Caenorhabditis elegans: one gene and its partner. The protein of the gene in region 1 purifies or fractionates together with the protein of each later gene. This does not show direct contact. Each region holds a gene or a part of one and is shown on either strand. Other genes may lie near its edges.

Evidence for each region.
Region 2: the proteins of thoc-3 (region 1) and manf-1 fractionate together in Caenorhabditis elegans (co-fractionation; one large-scale study listed by BioGRID). This does not show direct contact.

Annotation. Positions count from the first base shown.
Region 1 is NC_003279.8:8,969,359-8,973,665, forward strand, and holds thoc-3 (WD_REPEATS_REGION domain-containing protein), read left to right. Parts: upstream 1-1,780; coding exon 1,781-1,885; intron 1,886-1,962; coding exon 1,963-2,112; intron 2,113-2,158; coding exon 2,159-2,270; intron 2,271-2,315; coding exon 2,316-2,422; intron 2,423-2,528; coding exon 2,529-2,800; intron 2,801-3,354; coding exon 3,355-3,604; 3' UTR 3,605-3,679; downstream 3,680-4,307. Other genes in the region: spd-2 (Spindle-defective protein 2), read right to left, coding at 1-292, 340-579, 623-713; F32H2.10 (Integrator complex subunit 1 R4 domain-containing protein), read left to right, coding at 957-1,036, 1,082-1,295, 1,341-1,449, 1,493-1,605; F32H2.12 (SRCR domain-containing protein), read right to left, coding at 3,708-3,735, 3,779-3,906, 3,955-4,105, 4,152-4,296.
Region 2 is NC_003282.8:2,926,853-2,930,459, forward strand, and holds manf-1 (Mesencephalic astrocyte-derived neurotrophic factor homolog), read right to left. Parts: upstream 1,570-3,607; 5' UTR 1,567-1,569; coding exon 1,497-1,566; intron 1,435-1,496; coding exon 1,310-1,434; intron 1,238-1,309; coding exon 1,093-1,237; intron 1,026-1,092; coding exon 859-1,025; 3' UTR 665-858; downstream 1-664. UniProt on the Caenorhabditis elegans protein: Inhibits endoplasmic reticulum (ER) stress response. Retained in the ER under normal conditions and is up-regulated and secreted by the ER in response to ER stress and hypoxia.

The DNA of each region.
Region 1 (4,307 bases):
ACATTTTCGTCATTATCCCTCTCCACGATTTCGTTGTCATTGGCTCCTGGCTTTGCTCTAGCTTGGGGAATCAATTTATTTTTTCGATGATTCAAGTTTCCGAAGACGGGCGAATTTGTTTGAATGTCGGGAGGTGGTTGCTTATCATAATGGTGTATGGACGGCTCCCAGGAGTGATGCTTGTCTTTAGGCGGCGATGCTCCGTTCATAAATTTTGAAGTTTCAGGAAAAAGCAGGTCAGCTTTGTTTTCATCAGCAAAAACCTGATTAGTGTATTCTTCAATGGCATTCTCTGAAAATTAGAAACAAAATTAATGGTTTAAGTAGATTAAAACTAACCTCCACCACTTTGAAACTCAAATTGACTAGAAAACGACTTATCGCTCATCACGCTGGCTGGACGACTCGCACTGCGCGAGCTAGCGGCAGATCGCAAATCTTCATTTTTCTCCTCAATCGTTGTCAGGTCATTAACCTTTGGATTAGTCATGTTTGTTTTGAAGCGACCACCATTTTTGAAGTTTTTCGGTGTCTCGTGTACTTCCTCTTCTTCGAGTTCTACATCACCATCAGCATTGTCTGAAAAAGCTATTTTAATTGCATAACATGTATAATAACTTACAGAATGATTCATTATCATTGTCATCAATGGGACTATCTTCAATTTCTTCGAACTGTTCATTACAGAGATTCATTGGAGCATCATCTTCCATTTTTAATACGCTGAGAATAGAAAAAGTTTTAAAATGAATGATTTTAAAAGCGTAAACACTAATCATTTGACGGGCGCGCCAATGTTTGTTTTCTGTGTCCGCAAACACGGCCACGCGAAAATGCGTACTTTTGTATCATATTTTTTGCAATTCAAATTGAAATAACTATTTTTTTATAGTCGTTTTTAAAACATAAAATCTAAATATATTGTGAATTTCAGCGAAAAATAAAACACAAAAACAATGGGTGATATTGATGAACGAATGATGGGACGTGCTGCTAGTCAATCTCGATTTCTTCCCAATGATCAGCAAGTCATAAGGTTGGTTTTTATTAGGTTTTCTCTAAAAATTCGATAACTGTTCAGTGACCCTCTGTCCAAACAAATCTTCGAATACGAACAATCGCATACTCCAAATGATCGTGAACTGCTTGAAATAATTCAGAAAATCGAGAGAAGTAATCCGGAACGATGTTCGAAAGCACCAAAGTTCGTGTCCCAGCTGCTAACTCACAGAACGACACCTATTCGTAAATTTGCATTTGCGGCTTGTCTGAAAATCTTGGCCCATCCTCAAAGTGTAAGAATTATCAAAATGACAATAATTTCAATTTTGAAAGTTTAGCCACGGCAAATGATGCTCGATTCCTATCACTTGGCACTTGTAAATTCAAATCCTCAAGTGGCTCAACATGCTTTATCGCTTCTGCCTAAGTTTGTTGACGCCTGTCCAGGTGAATCGATAGTAATAAACTCATTTTCATATTAATCTTGCAGAAGAAGCAAATAACCTGATAAAGTTCGGATCAATAGCATACAACAGACTTCCAGCTCCATGTACTGACGTTGAAAGTTTTCTATCAAAATCTTATACCAAAGCTTCTCAATGATTGATTTATTGTTTAGATTTATGAGTTGCGACGGGTTTTCATTTATCAATAAATCGGGTATTTCATTTATTTGATTTTTCTTTGCTTCTCGGTAAAAATGGGCTTAACTTGTCCCATCTTTATACCTTATTTATAAAATTTCATGATATTCGGAAAGTATTAAAATCTAATTCAGATGACAGTGTCTTCCCGAGAACGACGATGTGCACGTCTGTTAACGGCAGCTGATGCTTCGACATATTTTGAAAAGTACAAAAGAATCAGATCAACCGATATGAAGGTATACCTAAAGAAATAATATATTTCAAGCTTTCCCACTCATCAATTTTAGAAATGAAAACTACTTTTCTATTCCAGGTCCAGCAATGCCAATCAATAGCATTTAATTGTGATGGAACAAAACTTGTATGTGGTGCATTCGACAAAAAAGTGAGCGTTGCAAATGTGGATGGAGGTCGTCTCAGATTTTCTTGGGTGGGCTCTAGTCATTCATCGTCTGTGGAACAGGTATATCGGAAATTTCCTCATCTGGTGTTAACGATTTCTATTTCAGGTAGCATGTAGTGAAAAGCAGCCAAACTTATTTGCATCAGCCAGTGCAGATAGAAACATTTGTGTATGGGACATTCGACAAAGCAAACCGACTCATCGAATTTCAAATCGAGGTTTCAAATTAACAATTTAAACTCCTAAAAATGATCGGCTTTCAGTTGGAAATTTCTTCATCTCCTGGTCTCCGTGTGACGAATATTTCATATTTCTCGACAAAGATAATCGGATAAATACAGTAGACATTCGGAATTATCAAGTTGTAAATGTGAGTTTCAAGAGCTATTTAGCAACTTGAGATTTTTAGGATTTTGCTAGGATTGCTTGTAAAGTTGTAAAGACGATCAAAACATTTTAAATTTAATTATTTTCAGTCCTATGAAATGAAAACTTTCTCCCACGAGCTAACATTTCACCCTTTGTCGAACCACGTATTCGTAGCAGAGTCTGGAGGAAAAGTTGAAATTCTAAAGTTCGCCGGTGGAGCCCTTGAACCTGTGACTTCGATTCAAGCCCATTCGCATCAAGTTGAGTGTCTGGCAGTGTCGATCTCGAAAGACGGGCGAAAATTGGCAGTTGGAGCATCGGATGCTTCTTGCTCACTTTGGGATCTTGAAGAACTCATTTGTGAAAGAGTTATTCCTAGGTAAGCAGCAGGACTGGGACTTTTTTTGGTATTTTGGGGCAAAAATATATGTTTAAAAATATATTATACTTAAAACGTTATTTTATTTAAAAAAATATATTTTACAAGTCTTTTTAAGCTAAATGTTGCTTTTAATAGTTTTTGAATTCGTTTCCTCAAATATTAGAATTGCTTTACTCCAACGTTTGTGCGACTAATTAATTGCGAGTTTAGCACAAAATATTTGAGATTCCATCGAAAATCGAATCTATAAATTTTTTTTGATTTTTCGCCAACTTCTATTTTTTGTATTTTGCTCCAACATACTTTTTTGAAAGCAGATGCTCTCAAAATTCGAATAATGATGAGATTTTTTTTCAAGTTTGCAACCTAATCCATTTATCTAGACTCCCGTCCGTCTTTTTTGAAATCATATTTCGTAAATCATCAATTTTTATGTATTACAGTTTATGTACGATAATTAAAATTGGATGATAGACATAGCTTCGAAACATAACCATTATTAGAAGTATTGTTCTCAGATGCTTTTAAAGTTAAAACTGCAAAACTTTCAGACACGACTACGGAATAAGAGCTGTATCATTTTCTTGTAATGGTCAACTTCTTGCATCTGGATCCGAAGATCACTCAATCGATATTGCCTATGTACCAGACGGATCACGTTGCCACGAAATTAAACACACTGGCGAGACCTATTCAGTTGCCTGGCATCCGAACTCTCTTCTCCTTGCATACACTGCTTCCGATAGTATGGACAATAGGGAAGCAGCACATGTTAAAACGTTTGGACACAGTACCGTGTAAAATTTTTCCATAATTATTTTCTCTTGCTCTTGTTCTCGAAAATTGATCTGATACTATAAATTAAAAAAATCGTTTTATCTAGTTAAAAATAATCAACTGCAAACTATACATCAATCACCGAATACGCATCTCTGAAAATTTCAAGATAAATGAAAATCTTTAAAAATCAAATACATTTTCTTGTACCATTCATCAGAATTGTCTGAAAAAATCTTGCCACACGTGGCAGATCCCCATCTTCCATTCATCATCACCGATCGACAAAAACCTTCAGAATCCGCCAGTATTTTGTGTTGCCCATTCTGTAAATTGGGACTTCCGAAGAAAAAACCAGTCCACTCTACTCTTACAGTACACAATAAGTTCCCACATTCTGAATTAGGCTCAAACTGGCAATTTATATTCTGAAATGTTTCAGTTGAAGTCCATACACCCTGCCACGTGCAAAGTTGAGATTGTGGCCGACAACAATAATGACGAATATGGGTGTTATCTTCACATCTGGAAAAAGAAGAGCTTCGGTATTATGCTCAAAAATTGGTTTCACCTTGATTCCGTGGAAAATACTTTTTTGGAAAGCCAACCATTTCCATTTTCAGAGCATAATATTTCTCTCGGACTTCCACAATCACTGACATAACATCCAAATCTTTCCCGTCGATCTATTAGAACATTTGCTGAACATGTGCGATCTGGAAAAAAT
Region 2 (3,607 bases), on another chromosome or scaffold:
AAAAAATCAATTCAACAGTGAAATTTCGAAAAAATAGGATTTATGTGCATTTCAGAGTGAAAATTGGCATTTTTGACGTATTTTCCATCAAAAATAATGCCAAAAACTGAATTTTCGACGTTTTGAGCATTTTGAAAACGCTAAATTCGAGAAAATCGATATTTTCAGCAAAAAAACGCTGTAAATTCTCGTTATCCACGCGAAATCTTAATTTTTATACTAAAAATGTATAAATTTAACGGTAATTTAAGTAAAAAATCAATTCCTTTGCGAAATTTTTAGAAAAATTGGATTTCTGTGCATTTCCCAACGAAAACTGTTATGAAATCGCATATTTTTGCGGAAAAATCACATTTTTCGGTAATTTTAGTAGAAAATATCGCCGAAAATTGATTTTTCGGCGTTGAAAAAGCTGAAAATGGGTATTATTTTCCATTTTTACGTATTTTCCATCAATAATAACGTTTCGAAATCGATAAAATTGGTTTTTGGAGGTTTTTAAGGTGAAAATCGATATTTTCAGCCTAAAAATGCCAGTTTTCGACCGTAAATCTTCGAAAATCACATTTTTAAACTGATTTATTTCCTGGAAAACCTAGAAAAAAGGTAAAATAAATTATTAAAAACCGGATTAGAACCGAAAAATTGGCAAACTGAGGGAAAATCAGGGAAAAAAGCTTCATTTGACCAGACCAGTGGGAGGAAGATGATGATGAAACACGAAAAAATTAAGGGGGGGGGGGGAAATCAATAAATAAATTATTATTAATAAAAAATAGATTTCAACAAGTAAAATTGCAATAAAAACACACACGCTAAAAACACGATTATCACATGTAGAACGGCATGAAAAAAAAATCACAGCTCTTCTTTGACATATTTCGGCTTAAGCTCCTCGATGCGCTTGATGAGCTCGGCCTTCTCGGTGCATCCCTTGCACACCTCTCCCCACTCGCCGAGAATGTTTTTCAGCTCTTTCACGCGCATTTTCTTCAAATCGATCGTCTTCCAGTCGAGTGGCTTGTCTGTGAAATTTGGGGATTTATTTATTTTTTTTTTTTGATTAAAAGCGAGATTATGCGCCAAACGAACCGTATTTAAGCTCACAAATCTGAGCATCCTTGCCCTTGAGCTTCTCCAAACAGACTTTTTCCGTTGGCATCGACCAACTGAGCGGCTTGGTGACCTCGTTCATGATGGAAGTGGCCGATTCTGGGAGTGCGCCGATGTAGAAGCACTGAAAATGGATAAAAATTAAAAATTTTAAAGGAAAATTAGATTAAATCATTTAAATCTTTAAATCCCCTACAAATTTGTTCTCCTTGTTGCGAGTGGTCTCACAATGCTCTCTGATCACTTTTCCGATGGCATCTGGCTTGGATTTGTCGCCGGCCGGCACTTTTGCCATCACATCGTCCAGAACCTTTTTGCAGACTGAAAATTTCGCGATTTTTTATTAGATAATTAAGTAATTAAGCTTTCTCAAATTTACAAACCTTCACATTGTGGAGCAGCAGCCGAGGCGACGACAATCACCAGGGAGATGAGAAGGACGAGTCGGCTCATCTGCTGGAAAAAACAGGGATTATTACGGGGTTTTCAGGGCTCTGAGAGTGTAAATAGCGGGAAAACTGAAAAAAAAAACCAACAAATTATGCAGAAAAATAGAATAAAAAGACAAAAGAAAGCGGAAAAAACGGAGAGAAAATAGAGAAAAAGCGAACGCAATTCGAGAAAATAAGCTGACGTGTTTGCGCGCACCGCGGGCGCGTCAGCACTCTCCTTGGCGCGTTTCTCGATGTGGACGTCAGCGTTAACGTTGACTTTTGGAATTAATTTTGTAATTTATTCGGGCTGATTCGCAGTGAAAAACGATATTTTCCATTGAGAAAACCTCAAAAATAGTTAGAAAATCGTATTTTCCAACTAAAATTAGCATTAAAGATCGCGGGAAACATGAAAATTTGCATAAAACTTCACTTTTTACAGGTTCGCAAAATTTAAAATAAAAATGTTTGAAAATCAGATTTTTTAAAAAATCTTTTCTTGGTCCAGAACGAAATTCAGGTCTCGCGTGGAAGGGATTTTAAAGTCGATTTGGCGGTTCCCGTGGAGATCGGGTCATGGTGCATCGATCAAAATACTTTCTTCTTGTATTATAGGTTTTGTACCATTTTCAGGGGGTTTTCCAGAATTTCCAGAACCAAAAAATCCAAGAATTACAAGAAAATTCGATTTGAAAACACTAAAAAGAAGAAAAAGCGATTTCGAATTCAAAACTACTACTGTAGAGGGGTACTGTAGTCTGAAAATTTGCACAGTTCGCGTTGGGAACACAATATATTCTATTAATAGGCACATCTTGATAAAAACCTGGAATTTTTACGGTTAAAACTAAGTTTTTCAACAGAACATATTCGTGAACTTTCTTGATAAACTCGGTTCTATTTACGTGAAATTTTTAGTTTTTAACAAATTCCACATTTTTATTATATTTAATGCCACGTCATCGCAAAACTAATATCGGAACATTGAGGTTAGTTTAACAGTTTTTTTTCAGTCGAAGAAAAGTTGTGAGTTTTTTTTCTAAAAACATTGTATTCTTTTTTGCTGATATGAGGGTTCTCGAAAAGTTGGTGGCCGAGTTTTCTTCTGCGCGGCCGCGAATAAATAATTTTTTTCAAAGAAAAAAATTAGATTGGCAGGATTTAATGAAATTAGTTTTGAAAATTTTCAGGTTACTTTTTGACCATTATAAAATTTTTTGGTGGCCGAGTTTTCTACACCGTTTGAAAAATTAGTCCGTCGTCCCAACGCAAATAAACTGTGTCGTAAAGTTTGCCTTCTGAGAAAAATCTTTAGGGGTAAATATTTCAAGTTTCTGTGTAAATTTTTGACGCGGGAATTAAAATTTTTTCCCTTTTTTTCAAAGTTAGTTTAAAGATTTGCCCGTGTGGTAGAATTGGACTCATCTCACTAGATTCTCACTATAGGTTCAACCAAAATTTTACAGCTCTGCCCGCATATAAATTGTTCGGAAATTCAGATTTGCATTGTACACTGCAACATTTTCCTCACGAGGGAAGAGGAAAAGTGGTTTCTAGGCCATGGCCAAGGGGCCGATAAGTTTCAGCGGCCATTTATCTTGCTTTGTTTTCCGCCTGTTTTCTTTCGTTTTTCATCGATTTTTTTCGTTTTTTCTTAATAAAACTGATAAATAAATATTTTTTGCAGATGCTAAAACAATTTCCAAGTAAAAAAATCATGTATTCAGTGGGCAAGCAGCGGTGAAAGTGGGCATTGTAATATAATGGATTACGGGAATACAAAACCTAAATTTTTTCTTAAACATGATACATATGCTGCTTAAATGCTGAGACTACCTGATTTTCATAACGAGACCGCTGAAAAAGTTTTGAGGTTTCCAAAATTCAACTATTTTGGTGAAAAAGTCGAGATTTTCGCACAAAAAGTTGAATTTTGAAAACCTCAAAACTTTTTCAGCGGTCTCGTTATGAAAATCAGGTAATTTCAGCATCTAAGCAGCATATGTATCATGTTTAAGAAAAAGTTTAGGTTTTGTATTCCCGTAATCCATCATGTTGCA